Astyanax mexicanus: one gene and its partners. The protein of the gene in region 1 interacts with the protein of each later gene in a pairwise test. Links are inferred from orthologs where the notes say so. Each region holds a gene or a part of one and is shown in the gene's direction. Other genes may lie near its edges. The genes, in order: ngly1, gucd1 and trafd1.

What was found.
Region 2: the proteins of ngly1 (region 1) and gucd1 interact in binary tests that used the Homo sapiens proteins (3 or more experiments, as listed by UniProt). The two-hybrid records come from large-scale screens. The link is inferred for Astyanax mexicanus from reciprocal best matches to the Homo sapiens genes NGLY1 and GUCD1.
Region 3: the proteins of ngly1 (region 1) and trafd1 interact in binary tests that used the Homo sapiens proteins (3 or more experiments, as listed by UniProt). The two-hybrid records come from large-scale screens. The link is inferred for Astyanax mexicanus from reciprocal best matches to the Homo sapiens genes NGLY1 and TRAFD1.

Annotation. Positions count from the first base shown.
Region 1 is NC_064410.1:736,487-743,725, reverse strand, and holds the start of ngly1 (peptide-N(4)-(N-acetyl-beta-glucosaminyl)asparagine amidase), read left to right. Parts: upstream 1-4,213; 5' UTR 4,214-4,477; coding exon 4,478-4,578; intron 4,579-7,137; coding exon 7,138-7,239. Other genes in the region: nutf2l (nuclear transport factor 2, like), read right to left, coding at 351-449. UniProt on the Homo sapiens protein: Specifically deglycosylates the denatured form of N-linked glycoproteins in the cytoplasm and assists their proteasome-mediated degradation. Cleaves the beta-aspartyl-glucosamine (GlcNAc) of the glycan and the amide side chain of Asn, converting Asn to Asp.
Region 2 is NC_064419.1:13,459,271-13,467,308, forward strand, and holds the start of gucd1 (protein GUCD1), read left to right. Parts: upstream 1-4,945; 5' UTR 4,946-5,598; coding exon 5,599-5,605; intron 5,606-5,873; coding exon 5,874-5,958; intron 5,959-8,038.
Region 3 is NC_064429.1:29,422,528-29,430,429, reverse strand, and holds the start of trafd1 (TRAF-type zinc finger domain-containing protein 1), read left to right. Parts: upstream 1-4,810; 5' UTR 4,811-5,505; intron 5,506-7,199; 5' UTR 7,200-7,202; coding exon 7,203-7,237; intron 7,238-7,514; coding exon 7,515-7,650; intron 7,651-7,902. Other genes in the region: traf2a (TNF receptor-associated factor 2), read right to left, coding at 2,545-2,732. UniProt on the Homo sapiens protein: Negative feedback regulator that controls excessive innate immune responses. Regulates both Toll-like receptor 4 (TLR4) and DDX58/RIG1-like helicases (RLH) pathways.

The DNA of each region.
Region 1 (7,239 bases):
TTCGTGATCTAATACTTTTCAAATAAACAAAGAATTTCACTGATTAACGTTACTTCATTCATAAAAAAAAGAAGTTTTTTTTTGCATAATTCAGTCAATGAGGTATAACCAGTGGTGGAAACACAGGGGTTTATATAGCAAATATAAAAATGATATATATGTGTTACCTCAGAAAATTAATAATTATTTTAATAAAATGTGGAATGACTGAAGGACTGAACAGAATAACGTTAATTATAGCTAGTTTATCTCCCACAGCAGCTCCTAAACACTGTTAAATCCGCCCACAGGGCGAGATTAGACCCTTTTTCTACAGATTTAGAGTTTTTATATATTTAAACTTCACTTACATACAGATCTGCGAGTTTCCCCCGGTCTGAATCAAACTGCTGGTAATAATGCTGCACGAAGCCCGTGCCGATCTGCTCCCACATGGGCTTCTCCGCCATCAGGAGAACCGAGCTGCGGAAATATTCAGATTAAACCCTGAAAATAATCATATATTTACACTCAGTGTGGGAAATATGTTGGTTCCCCAACTGATAAAACATAAACCAGCGAGGTAAACTGAAATAAAACGAGATAAACAGCTTTAACTCACCAAAATACTCTTACACAGAGAAAACAGCACGAGCAGCGCCGAGTTTCCCGCCGATAGTACAGGGAAAAAAGCTCGTTTTAGCGCGTTCACAAAACACCTGATTCTCCTCACACACTGATTACCTGAAATACAGTATCGGGATCAGCGAAAACTCACAGTATTCTGCAGAAAATTCATTTTAATATTCGCAAATTAAATAATCTTCTAATAATGTGTGAAATTAAATAATTATCTATTTGTTAAGAATATATCTCGGCTGTTGAACACGTCAAAACCTGAATAGTGAACGCACCCCTGTGATTGAAATCGTGTTAAAACTTGAGTGATGAAGTCATTCATTCATATTTTTTTCCCAGGCTTTTCTTTCTTTTTAGTATCCCCCTTTCCGTATATATATATATATATATATTATGGAAAAAGAAAAATGGGAAAAGAAAGATGCCTGGGTACAGTTTTAAAGGTTACAAAAAACTATATATATTAAGTACTAAAATATGCGATTATTCTGTGTTGAGGAAGTTAGTACATTTTTCATTATGAAAATTATTAAACGTTTGAATGTTTGACTGCTCCATATGAATCCAATAATTTTGGTCTGAATCATGCGCGAAAATTCACTTAAATAGTAAAAAACTACTTACCCGGGGTTTTCTTTAATTTCAAAAAGTATAATAAAGTATTTTGTTTAAAAAAATACGCATAAAAAAATAAGTTTCGATCCAATCTATATTTATTTACTATAAAATAAATTATTAAACGATGGTTAAATAATAATAATTAAAACAAATATATATGTATTGCGTTTTAAAAAAGACTTTTATTTTGACGACATCGTAGTTCTGAAGCAGCCGCAGTATCTGAGTCAAGAGCCGGTTCTTGGAGAGACTGCCAATTTCCTATCTCTGCCGCTAGAGGGAGCCCGCGAGGGAGTGCTCAATGTATGGGGTTAAATGGAGCTAAAAGCTAAGAAAGCGAATTAAAAATAGTGACTAACTACTTGGTCATAAACTCTTTTACCATAGTAAATTATAATGGTTGTTTTTTTTTTTTCATAAAAAGCAAATAAAACTTACCTGTATATTTTAGTTTTTCTTAAGTAAACGGATTTTAGGCAGTAAAGACACTAGCATCACTGCTCCTGTGAGCTGATTGACTTGTTGGTGCAATGATGCTTGAGATACAGGAAAATCAGAGGCGGTCTTTGCATAAAGGCATTGCTATGCAACTGCCTTGGGCCCCTCCCACTGCAGCCCACTGTAGGGGCCCCCTGACTAGCAGCAAACTTCCCATAGGCCTACAGCTGGTAATTGGGGCCCTTTGGACAGTAATTCACAGATAGTGCGTTCGGAAATGGTGATTCTTGTATGTTTAAAATGGAAACAAAGACAACACAATAAATTACAAAGAAATACAGTTCAGTCCACACCCCCCTCTTTCACGTTAAAATGGAATATTCCATTCATGCCATGTGGCCATGCCGTGAACCTACAGGAGGAATTAAGGTGAAATTAAGTGTACAAGTGGGTTTTGAGCAAAGCCATGAAGCACCACTTGCTACAAAAAGAAAAAAAGAAGGAAGAGGCTAAACTAAAAACAGATGCTCTTCCAAAACTGATAAGCTTTTTTTATCAATAAAATACTAAAAATATTTAAAATGAATAAAAAGTAATTAATATAAAATAAAAATCATTTAAAACACAATCAAAAGCTATATAATAGTGCACAGAATAATATCAGTTTCAGTTAGTTTCAGTTTCAAATAATTGAAACAGCTCACCAAAACCTCTACCTATCCTTTATATTTGACAATATTTTATTACTTTACAGGTCCTCACTCATCTTAATTTTAGTTGTTATATTATTTTTAGCCTCGCGCTGAATTTAGCTCTGTGCTGCGGGAGGGAGGGAGGGAGGGAGGGGGAGAGAGAGCAGCAGCAGCTCAGCGCATTTTGCCTGATTTCTCTTGATTACATTTCAATAAACATGTGAATTTAATACCTTTTAATACCATATATTTTAATTTACTTGATAGGACCTTATTTATTAAAACGTTTTTTTTTTTTTTAAATCGCAATGCCGCGCGCTTTCCTTTTGACTGACGCGTGCGTTCCTTAGGCTATGACTGACGCTAAACTGTTTTGATTCAGTTGTTATATTATATTATATTATATTAATACCATTTTAAAGTTTTCGTTTCTATGTTTTGAAATTCGTTAGATTATATTTTTGTCAACATTTTGGGTTTATTTTTGTTTGTTATTTTTCTAATAATAATAGAATTTACATAATTTATTTTCAAAGTAACGTGCCCAACACTGGCTGACAATGAGCAAGTTTCCTGGCACAAACCAGCATGAATGACATGAAATGTTTAAAATTAATACAGACATGTAGAAAAACTAAGAGAAGACAAGCTGTAACCTAGATGTAAATAATAATAGAATAATAATAAATAATAATAAATAATAGAATAATATGCCAATTAGGCATATTTGTAGCAGTTGGGTATTTTTTCATCCCTGACTCTAATTCATTTAAGTTATATACCTGATTTGATCTTTTTCTGTACAATCCCTGCTAAAGTTTTAGGTGAAGGAGACCTAAAGAAGGTCAGTGCATGTTTCTGGAAAAAACAAAACAGTGGGCGTGGCATCGTGATGGTTACCATCCATCGCAATGTTGGGTCATAAATGAGGATGGACGATGATATCATCCATCGGCACAACCCTATTTCTTGCATATTAATGTTGATTGGCCCCCTAGCTAAATTCGCCTTGAGCCCCCAAATTGCTAAGTCCGCCACTGAGGCAAATATATGTACATTTGGTACTAAAATATGTGATTGTTGTTTATTGAGGAAATTATTAAATTTTTATTTTTTAATATTATCAAACATTTATCAAACATGACTCTTTTTTTTGCATAATTGCTCCATATGTCCCAATAATGTTATAGTAATACTGAGTAACTACTTATCCAGGATTTGTCTTTAATTTCGGAATGTATAATAAAGTATTTCGCTAAACAAAAACTAAGAAAACTTGTAAATACATCAGTCTTTCTATGATAAACTAGTTATTCTTGTTTTGTTTAGTAATAGTGTTGCATTACTGCAACTGTTCGCTAATACTGGTTAGTAAGCAGAGGCTTGGAGAAACAGCCAGGGCACTTTAAGATTAAAGGCTTATAATTGGACTTTAAAAGCTTTCGAAAATTATGTCTGCGGTGCTGAGACATGTGATCTTGTTCTGTGTTGAGAAAAGTGTTACATTTTTTCACAATTAAAATGATTAAACATTTAAAATATATTATTATTATTATTTTGCTCCATATAAGCAAAGTACTTTTGCTCTGACTCGAGAGCGCCCTCTGGCGGTAAAAATAGTGACTAACTACTTATTCAGGACTTTTCCTTAATTTTGGAAAATATAATTAATTATATTAATTAAACAAATATAAGAATTGATAAAACTTGTAGATTATATATTAATACCTTCATTTTCTATTTTCGAATTTAGTTTGATACGGTCAGAAAATTGCTAAACTGCTAAACGTTAGACTGATCACCTCGCTCGGTGAGCTGCTAGTCTCCTCTGTAGAGGATCTGTGGCTGAGTCAGTGTTTGGGCTGCTGTGAAGAGCGTAGCGTTATCGCACAGTTCGCTAACTCAGTTAACGTTACATAGAAATATGTCGATTTTTTTAACACAGTAAAATATAACAGTGGAGGTTTATTAGTTTGTCAATGTTGCCGGTTGAGTTTAGTATTTTTTTTCAGGGCATTTTTAGTACCGTTAGTTGAGTTATTAATCACGTTTCCGTGACTTTTATCTTATATCGTCAGGCTAAAGGAGTGTAAACAGTTTCTGTGTGAAAAATGTCTGGATTTCAGGGGATTTCTGCTCTGTGTGAAAATCCCAACGAGGTGTTTCTGGATGTGTCGAAATTACTGTTAACTTATGCGGACAATATTCTCAGGTAAAACCGATTAACCTTCATATTTAGCTAAAGCTAACTAAATAACGTTAGCTAGATTAGCTTAGCAGCTTTTCCTTTGGAGCTAAACTGTTTATTTTATCTAAAACTGTATTTCTAGTCGAACACACTGCCTTATTAAAGCTTATTAAACCTGAAAACCTGTGGGTGAAAAAGTCTTTGTAGTTCATGAAGTTCTAAACCTGAAATAAACGGAGATTTTTGCGAATAAAAAACTGTCTTATCATTCTAGCTAAATTATCTAGCTAATGCTGCATCATCCTTATGCTGTCCAAACTCTACACCACTTTAAACAGACTTTAAAAAGACTAGATTTTGATGTCTTCTCACAACTAAAGACAATCACAGACTTTTTACTCACAGAATAAGATTTTATAAAGACTGGAAATCTTGCAGAATCACTATTTGCAAGACTGGATCTGGATTCTTTCTGAGATTATTTCCCATCATGCTTCTGGTGGAGTTTACATAAAATAAATATCACATATTATATTATTGAATTTATAATCAAAGACCCCATTAACAGTTTTTTGCCATAATGTTTGTACTTAATATTTTTAATAGAATACATTTTGTGTTCAAAATAAAAGCTTTTTTTTACCCGCTTTTTTTGCTACAACCTTGTAAAACAAAGAATCAGTTTTACTGCTGTACATTTACTTTTGTTTTATATAGAATTAATGCAATAAAGAACATCAGTCTTGCCAAATTTTATTATATGTATTTATGAAACTGGTTTGTGTCAAAATCAACACTGCACAATAAGACATTATAAGTCATGCACAATGAAATACCTTTAAATACAATAACTTTAAAGTGCTACCTGTGTTTAAAATACTCTACATATTAAAGATAGAACCGTATAAGGCATATTAACTGCAAAATGTGTTCTTTCTTAAAATCGTTTGTAAACACAGTCACATAAAAATATTCTTGCCATGCAGTTTCCTATAGCTCTTCTTCTATTAGTTGTTCACATTGCTCACTTTTCGTCACTATTTGCATGAGCCGAGTCTCAAGACTTACGATGTTATTAAACACGGTTGATTTTATCTGAACGCAGGACGATAAAAATACTGACTTACGCTGACTGATTTATTGATTTCACTGTCGCAGACAGAATTATCAGCCTCCTTTTACCTTGTTCCTTTTGTCCAATGAAAAAATTGAATATTATTGGACCACCACTTACCTGGTATTTTTCTAGGCAGTGGACGAGTACAAACATTTTTTACACCCTACAACATGCATCAACTGTGTAATAATAAAGTTGGAAAGTAGTGTATACCACAGAGTGGTCCACTACATGTTTAATATCATGTTAGCTGTGCTTTCTTTTAATTGTTAATCCTCAGTAATTGTATATCTGTGGTAATAACAAAATGTGGATTAGCTAGCAGGTAGGGGTGGGAATCTTTTACTATCTCACGATTCGATTCGATTCCGATTTTGGGGGCCACGATTCGATTCAAAATCGATTTTTGATTCAAAACGATTTGATTTATAAAAATTTATTGAAAACTTATTGAAAAAAAAGCCTCCAAAATATACACTGGTCCTGGAGAAGGTAATGTGTTACAAAAACAATAAAATGTGCAGGAATGTGGGTCCTCAGTGACAGAGGAATCACTGGGATATCACAATGACGTTAATGAACAATAAATAAATAATAAATAACACTGCTTTATTATAAGGCTACTAGCGGTGGTGTGTAGGTGACGCTGCTGGGCTGATGTGATGATAGCAGTGGAGCGCTAAAGTTCAGGAGCAGCTGCTGATTAACTAGTTAATTTTAGGCCGTTGTATTTCTTCAGAAAGGGGGCAGGAGGTGGAGAAATTAATTCATATTGTCCATTCCTTAATTCCTCTGTGATGGGGAGCTGAAATTAGCTCTGATTAGCTTATTGTTATTTTTCCGTTCCGCCTTAAATGCTGCAGCCCGCTGCCACCTGTAGCGTTATTTAAGGTGGAACTGGAAAGTTAGCTAGTTAGCTAGCTAACAGAAACTGAAACTAACTACTAGCGATCTTTTTTATGCTTGTTATGAAGCATTCTGCCATAAAACATTAAAACTACACGTTAATCTAAGGTAATATAGTGCTTGTTCTGCCATCTTACCGGTGATTCTCATACACCTACGCTCTGTGTGGGTCTGACGGTAAGTTCAAACTGCAGCGGCCACGGTCGCTTTGGGCAGTGGGAGGCGGAGCGAAAAACGCTTCGTGCCGCTGCAGTGTGAACTTACCGTGAGGGGTAGGGCCAAGGGAAGAAATGGGATTGGACCTTAGAATCGATTTTGGGACATTTTAAATCGATTCTGAATCGTAGTAAATGAGAATCAAGATTCTTATGTGAATCGATTTTTTGGCACACCTCTACTAGCAGGACTGCATGGAAACTAATCATTAATCTGGAATTCACTAGGCATGCTGGTAGGAGTTGGTTTACGGTTTAGAATTGAATTCTGCATGACTGTTCTTAAGGTCCAGAATTTTCTATGTTTAATATTCAGTTCATAATTATGTGTTTATCTATCCTCAGGAATCCGAATGAGGAAAAATACAGATCAATCCGTTTAGGAAACCCAACCTTCTCCACCAAACTTCTCCCTATAAATGGAGCAGTCGAATGCCTGTTTGAAAT
Region 2 (8,038 bases), on another chromosome or scaffold:
GTTTTATAGGACTCTGAAATCAGGTTTTTTCACAACTGAATAGACATTTTTCCTAAGCTTGGTATCCAATTACTCCAGAATGATACAGTAATATCATTTGTTACTCATGTCATTAATAGTTTGCAATGTGTTCTTCAAGACTGTCTTGGTGGCATTGGATAACAATTTAATTTGCTGGTTTTATGGGACCTTAAAATCTGGTTTATGCACAACCGAACAGAAATTTTTCCTAAGTTTGGTATCCAATTACTCCAAAATGATACAGTAAAATCACTTGATACTCATGTCAATAATAGTATAGAATGTGTTCTTCAAGACTTTGTTAGTGCCATTGGATAACGATTTGATTTGCTGGTTTTGTAGGACTCTGAAATGTGGTTTATGCACAACCGAATAGACATTTTTTCCAAGTTTGGTATCCAATTATTTCAAAATGATACAGTAAAATCACTTGATACTCATGTCAGTAATAGTATAGAATGTGCTTTTCAAGACTTTATCAGTGGCATTGGATAACAATTTGTTTTAATGGTTTGTAGGACTGAAATCTGGTTTATGCAAAAGTGAATCAACATTTTTCGTATGTTTGATATTTAATTACTCCAAAATGGTACAGTAAAATCACTTGTTACTCATGTCATTAATAGTTTGCAATGTGTTCTTCAAGACTGTCTTGGTGGCATTGGATAACAATTTAATTTGCTGGTTTTATGGGACCTTAAAATCTGGTTTATGCACAACCGAATAGACATTTTTTCCAAGTTTGGTATCCAATTATTTCAAAATGATACAGTAAAATCACTTGATACTCATGTCAATAATAGTATAGAATGTGCTTTTCAAGACTTTATCAGTGGCATTGGATAACAATTTGTTTTAATGGTTTGTAGGACTCTGAAATCTGGTTTATGCAAAAGTGAATCAACATTTTTCGTATGTTTGGTATCCAATTAATCCGAAATTATACAGTAATATCACTTATTACTCATGTCAATAATAGAATGGAATGTGTTCTTCAAGACAGTCTTGGTAGCATTTGATAACAATTTAATTTGCTGGTTTTACAGGACTCCAAAATCAGGTTTTTGCGCAACCAAATAGACATTTTTCCTAAGCTTCGTATTCAATTACTCCAAAATGATACAGTAACATCATTTGTTACTCATGTCATTAATAGTATGGAATGTGTTCTTCTAGAATGTCTTAGTGGCATTGGATAACAATTTGATTTGCTTGTTTTATAGGACTCTGAAATCTGATTTATGCAAAAGTGAATTAACACTTTTTGTATGTTTGATATTTAATTACTCCAAAATGGTACAGTAAAATCACTTGATATATATGTTGTTAATAGTATAGAATGTGTTTTCCAAGCCTTTGTTAGTGCCATTGGATAACAATTTGATTTGCTGGTTTTATAGGACTCTGAAATCAGGTTTTTTCACAACTGAATAGACATTTTTCCTAAGCTTGGTATCCAATTACTCCAGAATGATACAGTAATATCATTTGTTACTCATGTCATTAATAGTTTGCAATGTGTTCTTCAAGACTGTCTTGGTGGCATTGGATAACAATCTAATTTGCTGGTTTTGTGGGACCTTAAAATCTGGTTTATGCACAACCGAACAGAAATTTTTCCTAAGTTTGGTATCCAATTACTCCAAAATGATACAGTAAAATCACTTGATACTCATGTCAATAATAGTATAGAATGTGTTCTTCAAGACTTTGTTAGTGCCATTGGATAACGATTTGATTTGCTGGTTTTATAGGACTCTGAAATGTGGTTAATGCACAACCGAATAGACATTTTTTCCAAGTTTGGTATCCAATTATTTCAAAATGATACAGTAAAATCACTTGATACTCATGTCAATAATAGTATAGAATGTGCTTTTCAAGACTTTATCAGTGGCATTGGATAACAATTTGTTTTAATGGTTTGTAGGACTCTGAAATCTGGTTTATGCAAAAGTGAATCAACATTTTTCGTATGTTTGATATTTAATTACTCCAAAATGGTACAGTAAAATCACTTGTTACTCATGTCATTTATAGTATGGAATGTGTTTTTCAAGACTGTCTTGGTGGCATTGGATAACAATTTGATTTGCTGGTTTTATGCGACCTTAAAATCTGGTTTATACACAACTGAATAGACATTTTTCTAAGTTTGGTATCCAATTAATCCAAAATTATACAGTAATATCACTTATTACTCATGTCAATAATAGAATGGAATGTGTTCTTCAAGACAGTCTCGGTAGCATTTGATAACAATTTAATTTGCTGGTTTTACAGGACTCCAAAATCAGGTTTTTGCGCAACCAAATAGACATTTTTCCTAAGCTTCGTATTCAATTACTCCAAAATGATACAGTAATATCATTTGTTACTCATGTCATTAATAGTATGGAATGTGTTCTTCAAGAATGTCTTAGTGGCATTGGATAACAATTTGATTTGCTTGTTTTATAGGACTCTGAAATCTGATTTATGCAAAAGTGAATTAACACTTTTTGTATGTTTGATATTTAATTACTCCAAAATGGTAGAGTAAAATCACTTGATATATATGTATATATTAATAGTATAGAATGTGTTTTCCAAGCCTTTGTTAGTGCCATTGGATAACAATTTGATTTGCTGGTTTTATAGGACTCTGAAATGTGGTTTATGCACAACCGAATAGACATTTTTCCTATGTTTGGTATTCAATTACTCCAGAATGATACAGTAATATCACTTGTTACTCATGTCATTAATAGAATGGAATGTTTTCTTCAAGACTTTCTTGGTTTCATTGGATAACAATTTGATTTGAAGGTTTTATAGGACACCGAAATCTGGTTTATGCAAAACCGAATATACATTTTTCCTAAGTTTGGTATTCATTTACTCCAAAATGATACTGTACAATCAGTATACATGCATGACATAAATAGTATGGAAGGTATTCTTTAAGGATTTCATGTTCTGATTTAAGAAGAATTAGATTTTCTTTTAGATTTATAGCACTCCGAAATAGATAGTTTTGGTATTCAATTACTCAAAAATGATACAGTAATATCACTTCAAACATATATCTGGGATACATGAGAATAAGATCTTTAAGAATTTAGGGATGTGATTTTATAACAATTACTTATTTAATAACACTCCAAACCTTTTCAAAACGTTACACTGTTCTACAGATAAGAAGTGGTCTTTCTGGTGTATATTTGTGGATTAGATCTCGTTAAATCATTTTTATTTAGGTGTAAAACTAGTTTCTGTTCCATTTTAAGTCTCTGCACGAGAAGCGCCAGTCTCCGCTCCTCCGGGTGCGCTGTGCACGCTGCTACAGTAAAACACGGTTTAGACGCGCACTTCAGTTTTCGGTGTAGATAGCGCGACCGAGCGTTTTCTAAGTGCAGATGGCGTGACCGCGGTAAAAAATGTTTAGCGTGTTTTGCCTCGGCATATCAGAGTGGAGTTTATGATGACGTGCGGTCTCAGCAAATCAGAGTGGCGTTGACTGGTTGAAATCAACTTAACAATTTTCCACATAAATTGCATTTCCAAATAAAAATAAAAACATACGTAAATAAATACCTACATTCGTTAATTAATTAAATAGATAAAAAATATAATACTCAAATAAATAATTAGAAATAAATGATGCTTAATCATAAATAATCTATATTCATAGTGATTAACAATATTGATAACAACAATTTTGACATACATTTAAAAATAAATATATTCTTAAATAATGTTAATTTCCTGCACCTGTATTAGACGTCCCCATGACGTCCAAAAAAGTGACCTAGTCCGACGTTCAAATGTTTAACTGCATATTGACGTCCAAGTGGGGTCATAGTTAGACGTCCAAATAGCGGACCTAGTTTGCACGTCTTGTAGACGTACAGAATTGGTCTTGGACCGACCGACGCAATATAGACATGATCTGCACGTCCATAAGACGTCTAATGTTTAGTGGGTTATTTCAGCACGAAAAGGGCGGATTCAACTGAGTCGGCTGTATTATGTAGGATATGTAGTATTATGTAGTTTATAGATATATAAATACTTATAGATATTATAAATATTATTTATATATTATATCATTTATATTATTTAGTTTATATATATATATATATATATATATATATATATATATATATATATATATATAGTATTATTTAGTTTATATATGTAGTATCATGTTTATGTTGTTATATGTTAATAGTTATAGATATATAAATACTTATATATTTATTTACATAAACTAAATAATATATATAGTATTTATATATATTTATATATATATATAAAAATACATAATACTATATAATATATAATATATATAATAAATAATATAACATAATACTTTATTCTAATTTATGCTCTTTTTTCCAACTTCATTTCAAACGCCCTTTTATTTGTTTATGTTCAGTTCCACCCGTTCACATTTAAAATATTTAAGTAACTGGCTCATTTCTCAGCTCTTACTTTGGTTGTGGCGGGTAGAATCTCAAACAGGAAACAGGAAATACTATAGAGATATTTTTACGGCTTTCTACGGCTCTGGACTGTCCCATTTCAGTACTGCCATCGCAGCCTACACATCGAAGGACACACCTTCGTAGACTGCGTCCTTCGAAGAATGCAGCCCCTGAATTGAGACATAGATATAGACAGACACCGCCTATTGGAGCTGATTTTTCAGCACGGCCGCCATTTTAGATGGGTCTCCCGTGTACCCTAAGTGAATTTATTTGTACTGAGGAAGGTGTATAATACAACTATAATAATCACAACTTTGTTTGGTTTGTTACAAACGGCAGATATGTAGTTATGATACAGGACGCTCACTGGAACATTAATAGGAAACATGTTATAAATATATCTAACTGATATATGTATAATATATACTCTGTTGCGTGTGCTCTGGTGCTAGAATTGAGTGGAGACCCAACCAATATGGCGGCGATTTTGGATTTACGCTCCAACCAATAATGTGGCCGGAGTTGGACGCCAACCACTCTTGAATGCAGCGAGAGGCTAGACTTATGGACCGGCTTGGCAAGTAGTACTAGTGTTTTTTGAACAGGCGTCACCAAAGCAGCCCGAGGGGCCTTGCGATGGGGAACCAGGACGGGCATATAGGATTGTGCATCGGTTAAAAACAGTAGCACACAAAGTAATATTAGATATTAATGGTTATAAAATCAAGGTAATATTAGTGTTACTGGCCATAAGTGCAGGGCAATATTAGTTTTACTGTTTATTAGGGCTGGGTAATACTAGTGTTACTCGTTATTACTGCTGGGTAATACTAGTGTTACTGGTTATTAGTGCTATTCGGCTCTACTCTCATAACGCTTTCAGAAGGACAGAACAGCGCGCTGAACTAAAGGTAGACTTTAAAGTTAATAGTAGTTAACCAGGGTAATAAGTAGTGTACTGGCTCTAACCCAGCGAGCTGAGCTAGGGCTGTTTGTGCGGGTGAAGCCGGGGATCTGCTTATTAAAACATACGTTAAACCGTAGAATGAAGAACTGCGCTGGATAAATGTTAATGGGAAAGTAACATTAACTAGCTCAATACATCATGACAGGTAAGCTATGCTAAAAGTTTTGTTTTTAGGGTAGCTTTACTAACCTTCGTTAAGCTAGCTTTCTACATAGGTTCTTTGAATGTCTTGTTTAAGTGATACTTTGCCATGCCTCAGATTGTGATTAGATGTTCAGGGTATCTGCTTCACATTCACTTAGCAGATGGATATTTACCTGGTTAATCTAACTAGCTAGTTAATTTTCTTGATTTTGCCATTAAAGTCCAACGACAGATGTCCTTGTTATCTTAACCTGCGAACTATTTTGTAGATGATGTCGTTTTATTGAACGTACCAATAATTCGACAGCTCTATCACTGGGATTGCGGACTGGCATGTTCTCGGATGGTTTTAAAGTAAGTACAGAATCACTTTTTCTTTTTTTTTTTTTCTTTTTTTTTTTTTTAATCTCACATCGCAATTACTTTGGTTTTCATTCGAGGCATATGTTTCTCCGGCTGAGCTGCTGATTCAGAATAACGGGAAAATGTAAGGAAATGTGGAAAGTAATATAAACTAAATAATATATTAATATAAATAAATATACTTCCAACTATAAATAGTTAGTCTGGCTCAAACTGATCTCATACTTTAAAATGTCGTAACACTCTTTTGTGTTGCATTGCACATACAATCATTTCCCAAGATATTGAGAGCTAATTTCTTTTATATTTGCTGTAGACTGAAAACATTTGTCTGGGATCAGATACATAGCTCAGAGGATAGCACCTTCTGTCTGAACCCACCCATATTTGTTGTGAGCAAAAGTACATGAAAAACATGAGATTGGCAAGTGTGTTTTGTTGCCAAGGTGTCTCCTGATACATACATTTTTCAAACAATAAATAGTGCTGAATGTCTGTACAGATTTGGGTTTTATCTTCGCAGACTGTGCATTTATATCATATATATAAGTAACCAGTATGAAAACCAGAGAGCTGTCTATGGTAAAGATCAGAGCCATTGACCAAATATTGGCCATAGCAACCATTTGAAAAGTAATAAAGAAAAGGCATTTTCATGAAAATATTTTAATGAATAAAAGTACAGTGGCTTCACCAGCAGATGAAAACCACTATTAACCTGAAGAATAAGAAGGCCAGATGCACTTTAATTTACTTTAAGCTTATCTGTTCCAATCATTCTTCTCACATGAATAATGGGTTGGTTTACACAAAAAGCTTCCATCCTTTAAACTCTGTCAGATGCAGATATAAATACATATAAACATATATATATATATATATATATATATATATATATATATATATATATATATATATATATATATATATATATATAATATGTTGAAATGCCTGAAAAGTTTTGTCTACCGAAAAAAAAATTATATGAAGCTAAGGTTCTATAAGGATAAAAAAGGCTTATTTACAGTGGCTTGCAAAAGTATATACCTTATACATTTGCCATTCTAACACATATATAACATATGGAGTTATATATAATGTATGGAGTTTCCTGGAGGATTTTGATAGATTTATCTAGAACCAGAACTGATCTTGTACTTAAAAAAGGTTTAAGGTCCTTAGCTGATTTCATATATAAAAAAATATGATTTGTGTGGCATATTTCATAGTAGAGCACATACAACATCAAAATGAAGCAGGTTCTTGCTACAATTTAAATCATTGGCCCTTTTACAAAAGTACAGCCAAGAGAATATGACTCTCTGGAGCAGATCAGTAAACATTAGCCTGTTTGCACCATGCCTAATACCAGGCCCTGTGGAACAGTGCAACTGTGTTCTCTGAAATGAAGGTTCTCTGTCCAGTAATTTTACGAGTTGGGAATGAGGTAGGGTGGTGATCCAACATCCTGACCTTGCATATGCTTTTTTTATTAGTGCCATTAAATCCTCAATGCTTTACATTTTAGTTGAACGTCTTCTCTGGGCAGTAAAGACAGTTACTCAAAAATGGCAGGATACATTTTTTTTAATATGCTTGAACTCAGAAGAAAAAATGTCCCAATACTTTGTTCATGAAATGTACTTCTAAAACCTCAGTTTTGCCATATTGTCAGTTAATTATAAAATATAAAAGCAGTTTGTGTAATGCCAAGATTTTATTACTGTAAAAGTCTGTGACTTGATTTGAGAAACAGTACCTCACAAAAGTGAGTGCACTCCTTACATTGCTGTAAATATTGTATGATACCTTTCAATTGAACAGCACTGAAAAAATTATAGTTTGATTCAATGTAAAGTAGTCAGTGTCCAGCATGTATAATAGTGTAATTTATCTGTGTCCTCAAAATAACTCAACACACAGCCATTAATGTCTAAACCACTGGCAACAAAAGTGAGTACATTTTCCTTCTCCAATGTTATGCGGTTTGTTAGAGTTAGAGGTGTGAATGGGGGCAGGGTTATTATTTTGTTGTTTTTGGTATGATTCTCTCATACATGGCACTTCATGG
Region 3 (7,902 bases), on another chromosome or scaffold:
GATTAACTGTGCACAAAGAGTGGAATGTTATTATTACAACATGTCGGATTGTTGACCTCTGATGAAATTAGGTGATTTTTTTTTATAGCAATGTCAGTTTTCTGTCTACCGTGCTGCTCTAACAAGAACAGAACTGATTTGTCTGACTTGTAGGACTTGTTTTTAAAACAAAAAAAAGTATTGATGTTATATATATTATATAGATGCTTTGTTAGCAAAAACCTTTCATTTATGAAAATGAACGCTAAAAATATCTTTGTTTATGAGTGCAAAATATTGCACTGTCAGGTTTTTATTTGTCTAATATCGTGCAGCCCTAGCTAGAACAATTGAGTTGTCTCAATACTTATCACAGAAACAGGGCTGCACAAAATATTGTTTTAGCACAATCATCATGATGTGCATGTCATGCTACAACTTTCTCTATATAAAAAGGGAAAATTTGCATTTTCTCTGACATATCACCCGTATTTACATTTACAATTCTTGGTGTAATATCAATTGTCCTAGCTAAGGCTGCACAATCTTGGGGGAAAAAACTGACACTGCCATATTTTACACTTTTAACAGAAAAATAGAGAAAAAGACCTGTATAACATCAAATATGATGAAGAAAGACCTGTGTTATTAGCTGAGAATGGGCAAAATATACATCTGACAGTTTTAAAATATATATGCATTGCATTGTCAGTTTTTTTTACCCAATATTGTGCAGCCCTAGCAAGAACCAGTATTTAAGAATGATGAAGGTAGACACAGTAGATACACATTGTGATGATGACAATGCTAAAACAATATATTTTTCAGCCCTAGTTCTGGCACAATACTGAGAGAACAAACTGAAATTTTGCAACATTTAGCAATATAAAAAATAGAGAGATAAAGATATTTTAACTGTCAAATTCATATTGTGCTAACCAAAACAACTGTTTAACATGATGAGTAATGAAGAATGACCTGTGGTGGGTATAGCGACAAATCAATTGTTCTACCGATATTTAACACTCATAAAAACAGATATTTTAGCTAGGGCTGCACAATGTTAGGGTTAGTTTGCACAGTTTTTAATGTCATTTTTTTAACTAGCCCTAACACACTGTGATGATAACGATGCTAAAGCGATTGTGCAGCCCTTGTTCTGTGATGAGGATTGTTTTGGTTGGGGCTGCATAACCAGTATTAGACCAAAAACTGCAAAAACTGACATTGCTATTTTTTTATATTGTTTTTTTTTTTTGCATTAATAAAATTTTTAAAATATGAAGCAATGAAAAAAGATATATAATTTTCAGGAACTGAAAGGAACTGATAGGATGTATATTGTGCAGCCCTTGTTCTGTGGTGAGGATTGTTTTGGTTGGGGCTGCACAAAGAGTATTAAATCAAAAACTGCAAAAACTGACATTGCAACATTTTTATATATTTTGCATTAAAACAAAATGTTAATAAAATTAACAAACATTAATAAAAGTGATAAATTTTAAGGAACTGTAAGATTGATAGGATGCAAAATGGACAAAAACAACAGTAGTAAAACATCAATAATGATGAAAAAAAGGATGTGTGGTAAGTATTAAGACACAATATGAATCTGACACAATTTCTGTGTTTTTAATGATTGCAACACAATATTCCTAACACAATTATAATGATGATGACAATGATAAAGTGATATATATACTGTGCAGTCCTAGTTCTGTGGATTGTTTTGGTTGGGGCTGCACAAAAAAAACTGACATTGCAAAATCCTGTTATTTTTTTTTTTTTTTGCATTAATAAAAAAAAAGGTAAAAAAAAAATAGTAAAAATATGAAGCACTAAATAATTTTCAGGAACTGTCAGATGCAAAATGGACAAAAACAACAGTAGTAAAACATCAATAATGATGCAAAAACTGACATTGCAATTTATTTATTTATTTATTTATTTTTGCATTTTTTGGAATTAATAAAACAAAAAAATGTTAATACAAATAAAAAACATTAACAAAAGTGATTAATTTTAAGGAACTGTCAGATTGATAGGATGCAAAATGGACAAAAACAACAGTAGTAGAACATCAATGATAATGATAATGATGAAGAAAGATGTGTGGTAGGTGTTGAGAAACAATACAAATCTGTCAGTGTATACTTTCTGTGTTTTTATGAGGGTTAAATATCGCTAGAACAATTGATTTGTCTCAATACCTACTACCACAGATCTAATCTGGCTGGCAACAGAGCACAATATAGCTCAGCCAGCTGGCCAGCTACACCCCAACACACTCTATTGTTTGTCTTGTAGCTGACAGACAGCAGTTCCAGTGCTAATATCAGCACAGAAACTAGTTTGTGAGGAGAATGAGAGGGAAATTTCATTATTAAAGGTTATTATATTTATTCTAGTCTTCTTTTGTTGTTGTGTTTAATGTGAGGCAGGGCCAGGCTGTGTGTATCCAGGCTTGATAGATAAGCTAAGCTAGATAACTAAGCTATAACGCTATTAGCCAGCGCTAACCCAGGCTATAGTTATAGTAAATCCCACACACTGGCTGGAGCTTACCTCACGGTCTTGTTAAAACAATAGGAACAGAAGCGGTGTCCGCACTGCGCCTGAAACGGCCTCCTGAGGATCTTCTGGCAGATGTTGCACAAATGCTTGTCCTCAAGCTTGTTGGCGAGGATTTTCCTCGGGAAGCCAGGTTTGTTTCCTTCTAGTGAAGATGGTGGGGACGGTTCCTGTGCAGCCATTATTCCCAAACGAGCATGTGACCTGGCTATGGAGAGAAACGAAAGCAGAAAATCAGCTCGTTTTTCAGCCTAAAACCATTAAACCAAAGCTTTCCCAGCACGACCAAACCATTAGCCATCTTACAAGCCTGCTGGAGAGCTCGCTGGTTCGTGCTGTCATGCTTGGGACGAGGCTAAAGCTGAAGAAGTTGAAGCTGAAGCTGCTTTGCTCGCCAGCTTGTTAGTTCTATGGATTTTGGTCCGGTCCACCTTAAACGCTGCCATTAGCTCTAACGGGGGCCACCGTTACTGGCGACGCTTTGTTCACGGCGAGATTTAAGGTGGACCGGAGAATTTGAAAATAACAAGCCTCCAGCTTCAGTTTCGTCATGGTTGGTTAAATACATTCAGTAGACAACAAAATACGTTTAATAAATGTTTTCTACACTGTGTTTGTGTCACGTAGCTAACCCTGGTTCAAAAAGAAAAAAAGTAAGAATCCATCCCAGGTTTTTTATTGTTTAAACTGCCCGAGCGACTCTGCTAATATGCTTTAGGTAGAGGTGAGTAATAATCCAGGTCCATAAATTAAAAATCCATACCAGCATTGCATTTCAACTACATCGGCGGCTATGTTACTGTGTTTTAACCCGGGTCCGGAAAGTAAAATTCCATCCCAGGATTTTTGTTCAAACGTTGTAGCTATGAGAGGTGTGTAATCCAGGTCCAGGTTTATGTTTTATAGTCATATGGTATTTATATATATTTTACACACAGCAGTTGGGTAAAAAGGCTGCGCATAGTAGGGTTACAGCGTAGTACTATTTTTTTAATATAGTAGTTTTTATTTTTAATAAATATACTCCCTTCATAATTGATACATACACAAACATTAAAGTCAAAATAAAATGACTTCCATGAGATTTTCAGTGATTTTTATATTTTACACTTTTTCCTCAACTGAAATACAAGGATGTTAATTTATGTTTTCACCGTGTATAATATATAAGCTTCTTGTAAGGTTGAAAAAGACTGCTTACTATTCGTAAAAAGGGTAATAATATTCCGAAATTAATTTAAAAAAGGAAACAATATTGTTTACTCTTGAGTTTTTAGCCTGCATTTTTATTCTGCATTTTAGTCAGCAAAATGGCTAAGCTTTTAAGTGGCTGTTAATTATTATTATTTTTTTTTTAATCAATATAAAAAATGAATTTGGGTTACGGTTTCTGGTTGCATCTACTGCTCAGCTGTATGACAAGTAATCCCCTTGAACCATTTCTCATTTGTTCATTGCTCATTAAATAGCCAAAACAACCGTCATATGTTTTTTGTGTTTGTTAAAAAAATGAAGAAAAAAAGTATTTTACGAGGTTGACTATATTGATCCTTTGCCTGTCCTTTTATTTTCATTATTTTCTTTTAATATTCTTCGTATTTATTTATTCATTTACTATTTTTACAGTTTGTCAGCTGATCAGTTTATCATAATTACTGTAAAGATTATTGTTTTTCTAAAAAACAGTTCATATTCCTGAATAAAATAAAAAAAATAAAAGTCTTTGTCTTCATATAACATTTTGTACCATATCATTCAGCTCTATCAGTGCTTAATTACATACATAATTAAAAACACACTTCAGATTTTATTTTCCTTTTCATATTTGTATGTATTTATTGATTTACATATTTTTATTTGCACAAATGTTTTTTATTTGTTCTTATCGACTGGTCAATATTATTTAGATATCTATGGTTGTGAAACAGTTTGTCGGCTGCTCAGTTTATTATAGTTACTGTAATGATAATTGTTTTTCTAAAACTTTTTCATATTCCTGAATATAATAAATGAATAAATAAAAAGTTGTAATTTTAATTAACATTTTTACCATATCACTCAGCTCTATCAGTGCTTATTTACATATGTAATTAAATACATACTTTTAATATTGGTATGTATTTATTCTTTTTTTATTGTGTATGTGGTGTTTATTTGATCTTATACTGTATCTGTAGTTGTAAAACAGTGCTCAGTAGCTCAGTGTATCATAGTATATATATAATAAAAACTGCTTTAATTTATGCACCAGCAGTGTGTAAGACTGGTGGAGGAGAACATGCCAAGATGCATTAAAACTGTAATAAAAAAAACATGGTTATTTCTGAACTCTTAAAACTTTATAATTAAAAAATTGTTTTCTTTGCATTATTTAAAGTCTGAAATCTAAATCTTTTTTATTTCAGCCATTGTTCCATTGTTCAGCCATGTTCATTTACTCAAACATAAACCTATAAATAGCAAAATCAGGGAAACTGAAGTGGTCTCTATTTTTTTTTCTAGCTGAGAGCCTGATATAAAGTGGGACTTTTATTTTGAAATTAGCGAGGGAAGAGGCGGAAGAAGAGTGTGGGCTTCCTCCTCCGACACTGTTTCTAGTTTCTCGTTACCGAAAGCAAAACTCTGAACTGTGGGCTGTTTTTATAATGAATCAGTAATTTAATAAGAGCAGCGCGGCGGATTAACGCTGAGCGCGGTGTGTACTGAGGTCTGGCTGTACTGCCGCCGGTCAGACAGCTTTGTTTTAAGGTATTATCCGCTGTGTTTATCGGTGTTCAGTCATGATCGGCGTTAACGGGAGATAAATCTGCTTAACGCCCCGAAACTGCAGAGCTGAACTCTGATATATAACTAACTAAATAATCAATAAATCTGAAGCCTGAAGACGCTTTCTCCTTCAGATTAACACTGCCCGGACCCGCCGCTTCTCCTCTCCTCAGCGCTGAATAAGAAAAGGTAAGATACTGATACTGTTAATTATGGATGGAAACATTAGCCCGCCTGTCTCTGTCTTAGATAATTACTCTCATCTAACTGAGAGAGAGAGAGAAAGAGCTGCAGCTCAGGAAACACAACACCACACACACAACACATAAACACATACTACAAGAAAAACACACAACACTAACACATCACACATAGAAACTCAACACCACACACAGTACCACACACACTACACACAACACCACACATATTACATAAATAAAATGAATAAAAAAATGTTTTTTGTTATTTTTGTACTATTTTTTTTTATTATTTTCTGTGTTTTTTGTCTCTCTCTTATCCAGTGGTCAATTATTTAGGTACCTGTAGTTGTGAAACACACACACACACACACACACGACCACAAAACACTACATAAACACACACTATACATACATATACACACACGCACACAACACCACACCACACACAGCACCACACAAAGACACACAACACCACAAACACTGCAGCACACTCACACTAGGGGTGGGCGATATGGTCCTAAAATAATATCACGATATTTCATGGTATTTTTGCGATAATGAAACTCTTGACGATATGACATAACACTGATTTTTTTTCCCCAAGAATACACTACTGCACAATACTAATAATGCACTCCATGTATCTCCAAGACTACACATACACCACACACACTACATAAACACACACAGCACCATACAAATACAAAACACTATACATACACAACTGCAGTGTAATGTTAACATAATAGCTAGGATCATGCAGAGCCTGTAAATGTTTCCACACAGTTTCATTGCTACATTTTTTTGTCTCTAACCATCTTAGCTAAGTTTCACAATGCATTCCTTTTGCTAATTTAATTAACCATTATCTCATTATCTCTGTTTAGTAAGTCGTTCCCTCAGTGTAATGCATTATTTCAGTCTAATCAATTATTGTCTCAACTTGGTAAATTATTGCTTCATTGTAAATATACCGGTAAGTAATTCTTCTAGTTTTACTAATTCATCCCATTAATTTAATAAAGTGTCCCGTCAGTTTAATAAGTAACGTAATTTATTTAATAAATCATTGTTTTATTTGCAATGTTGTAAACTTTAATAAATAATTATCTTAATTTGATTGAGCTATTTTCTATTTTTGTTTTTTATCTTAAATTTGTATGTCTCTTAATATAATAATAATTCCCTTGTTTAATAAGTATGTCCTTCAGTTTGATGTAATTATTTTTGTTTAGGCTTTTCCTCAATTTGATAAGTCAGGTTGATAAGACAGTCAAAGTCAAGTCAAAGTGGTTTTTATTGTCATTTCAGCTATATACAGAGTACACAGTGAAACGAAACAACGTTCCTCCAAGGACCATGGTGCACATAAACACAGTGTAGACAGAACAATAGTGCAACAGTACAAAAGTGCAGACAGACAATACAACACAATACAAAAGACAGGTCTTTTCTGTAAGATAAAATAAATTGTCTTTACATTTTAGAAGGTTTGCTTTAGTTAAATTGTGGGAACAATGTTTTTAATTGAGCCAATTATTAATCAATGGAGTGTTTAAAATCTTGATACTCTAAAGACTCCTTTTGTTTTACAATGTAAATATTAATGGTAATTGTTTTTACTCACCAGAGAATGTGTAATACCTCTGAGACATGTCTTCTTTGGTCTCTTTGTTTGCACAGGTTATGTCTGAGGAAAGCACCCAGCTCTGCACCAACTGGTTAGTTTCATTTTCCTTTCTTTTGCTTCCACCCTTTGTTTTTCATTGGCTCTCCTTATGGAGAACAAACAGTTTTCAGGGAACAGACTGTATGAATCACTAAGTGCTTTAATAAAGGAAGGTTGTCTCAGGCATGTTCCAGTACTTACATTAAAGTGCTTACACAGTCCTTTCGTTATTCAGTTTTTAGGAATGCACTGATTTTTTAAAAATGATCTTTAAACCCATTGTTTTTTCTTTCCTGGTTCTCATTCTTTCCTCTCATTCAATTCCACAGCAAGCATGACATCCCAGAGGCCAACTTCACCACTCACGAGATCCACTGCCGACGGAACATCGCCCTGTGTGACGTGTGCCAAGAGCCGGTTCCCCGTGCTGAGCTGATGCAGCATAAAGAGCAGGAGCACTCACAGGTAATTCTAAAAAATAGGCCAGGCCCCATTTTACCCCTTGATACTAGCACTTAGCCTCTGTTTTGCATGTGCATGCCTAGGGGTAGGGTGAGGCAGTGAGTGAGTCAATGAGTCATAAGCCCTATCCGGATGGGATTAGTTTCTCAGAGGGTTCTGGGGTAATTTTCTCTTTTATGGGGGGTCCTCTGTGATTTTATTCCAGCCGGAATGAATGGTATGTGTTTTTTCTCTGAGAAAATGACAGGCTGAATT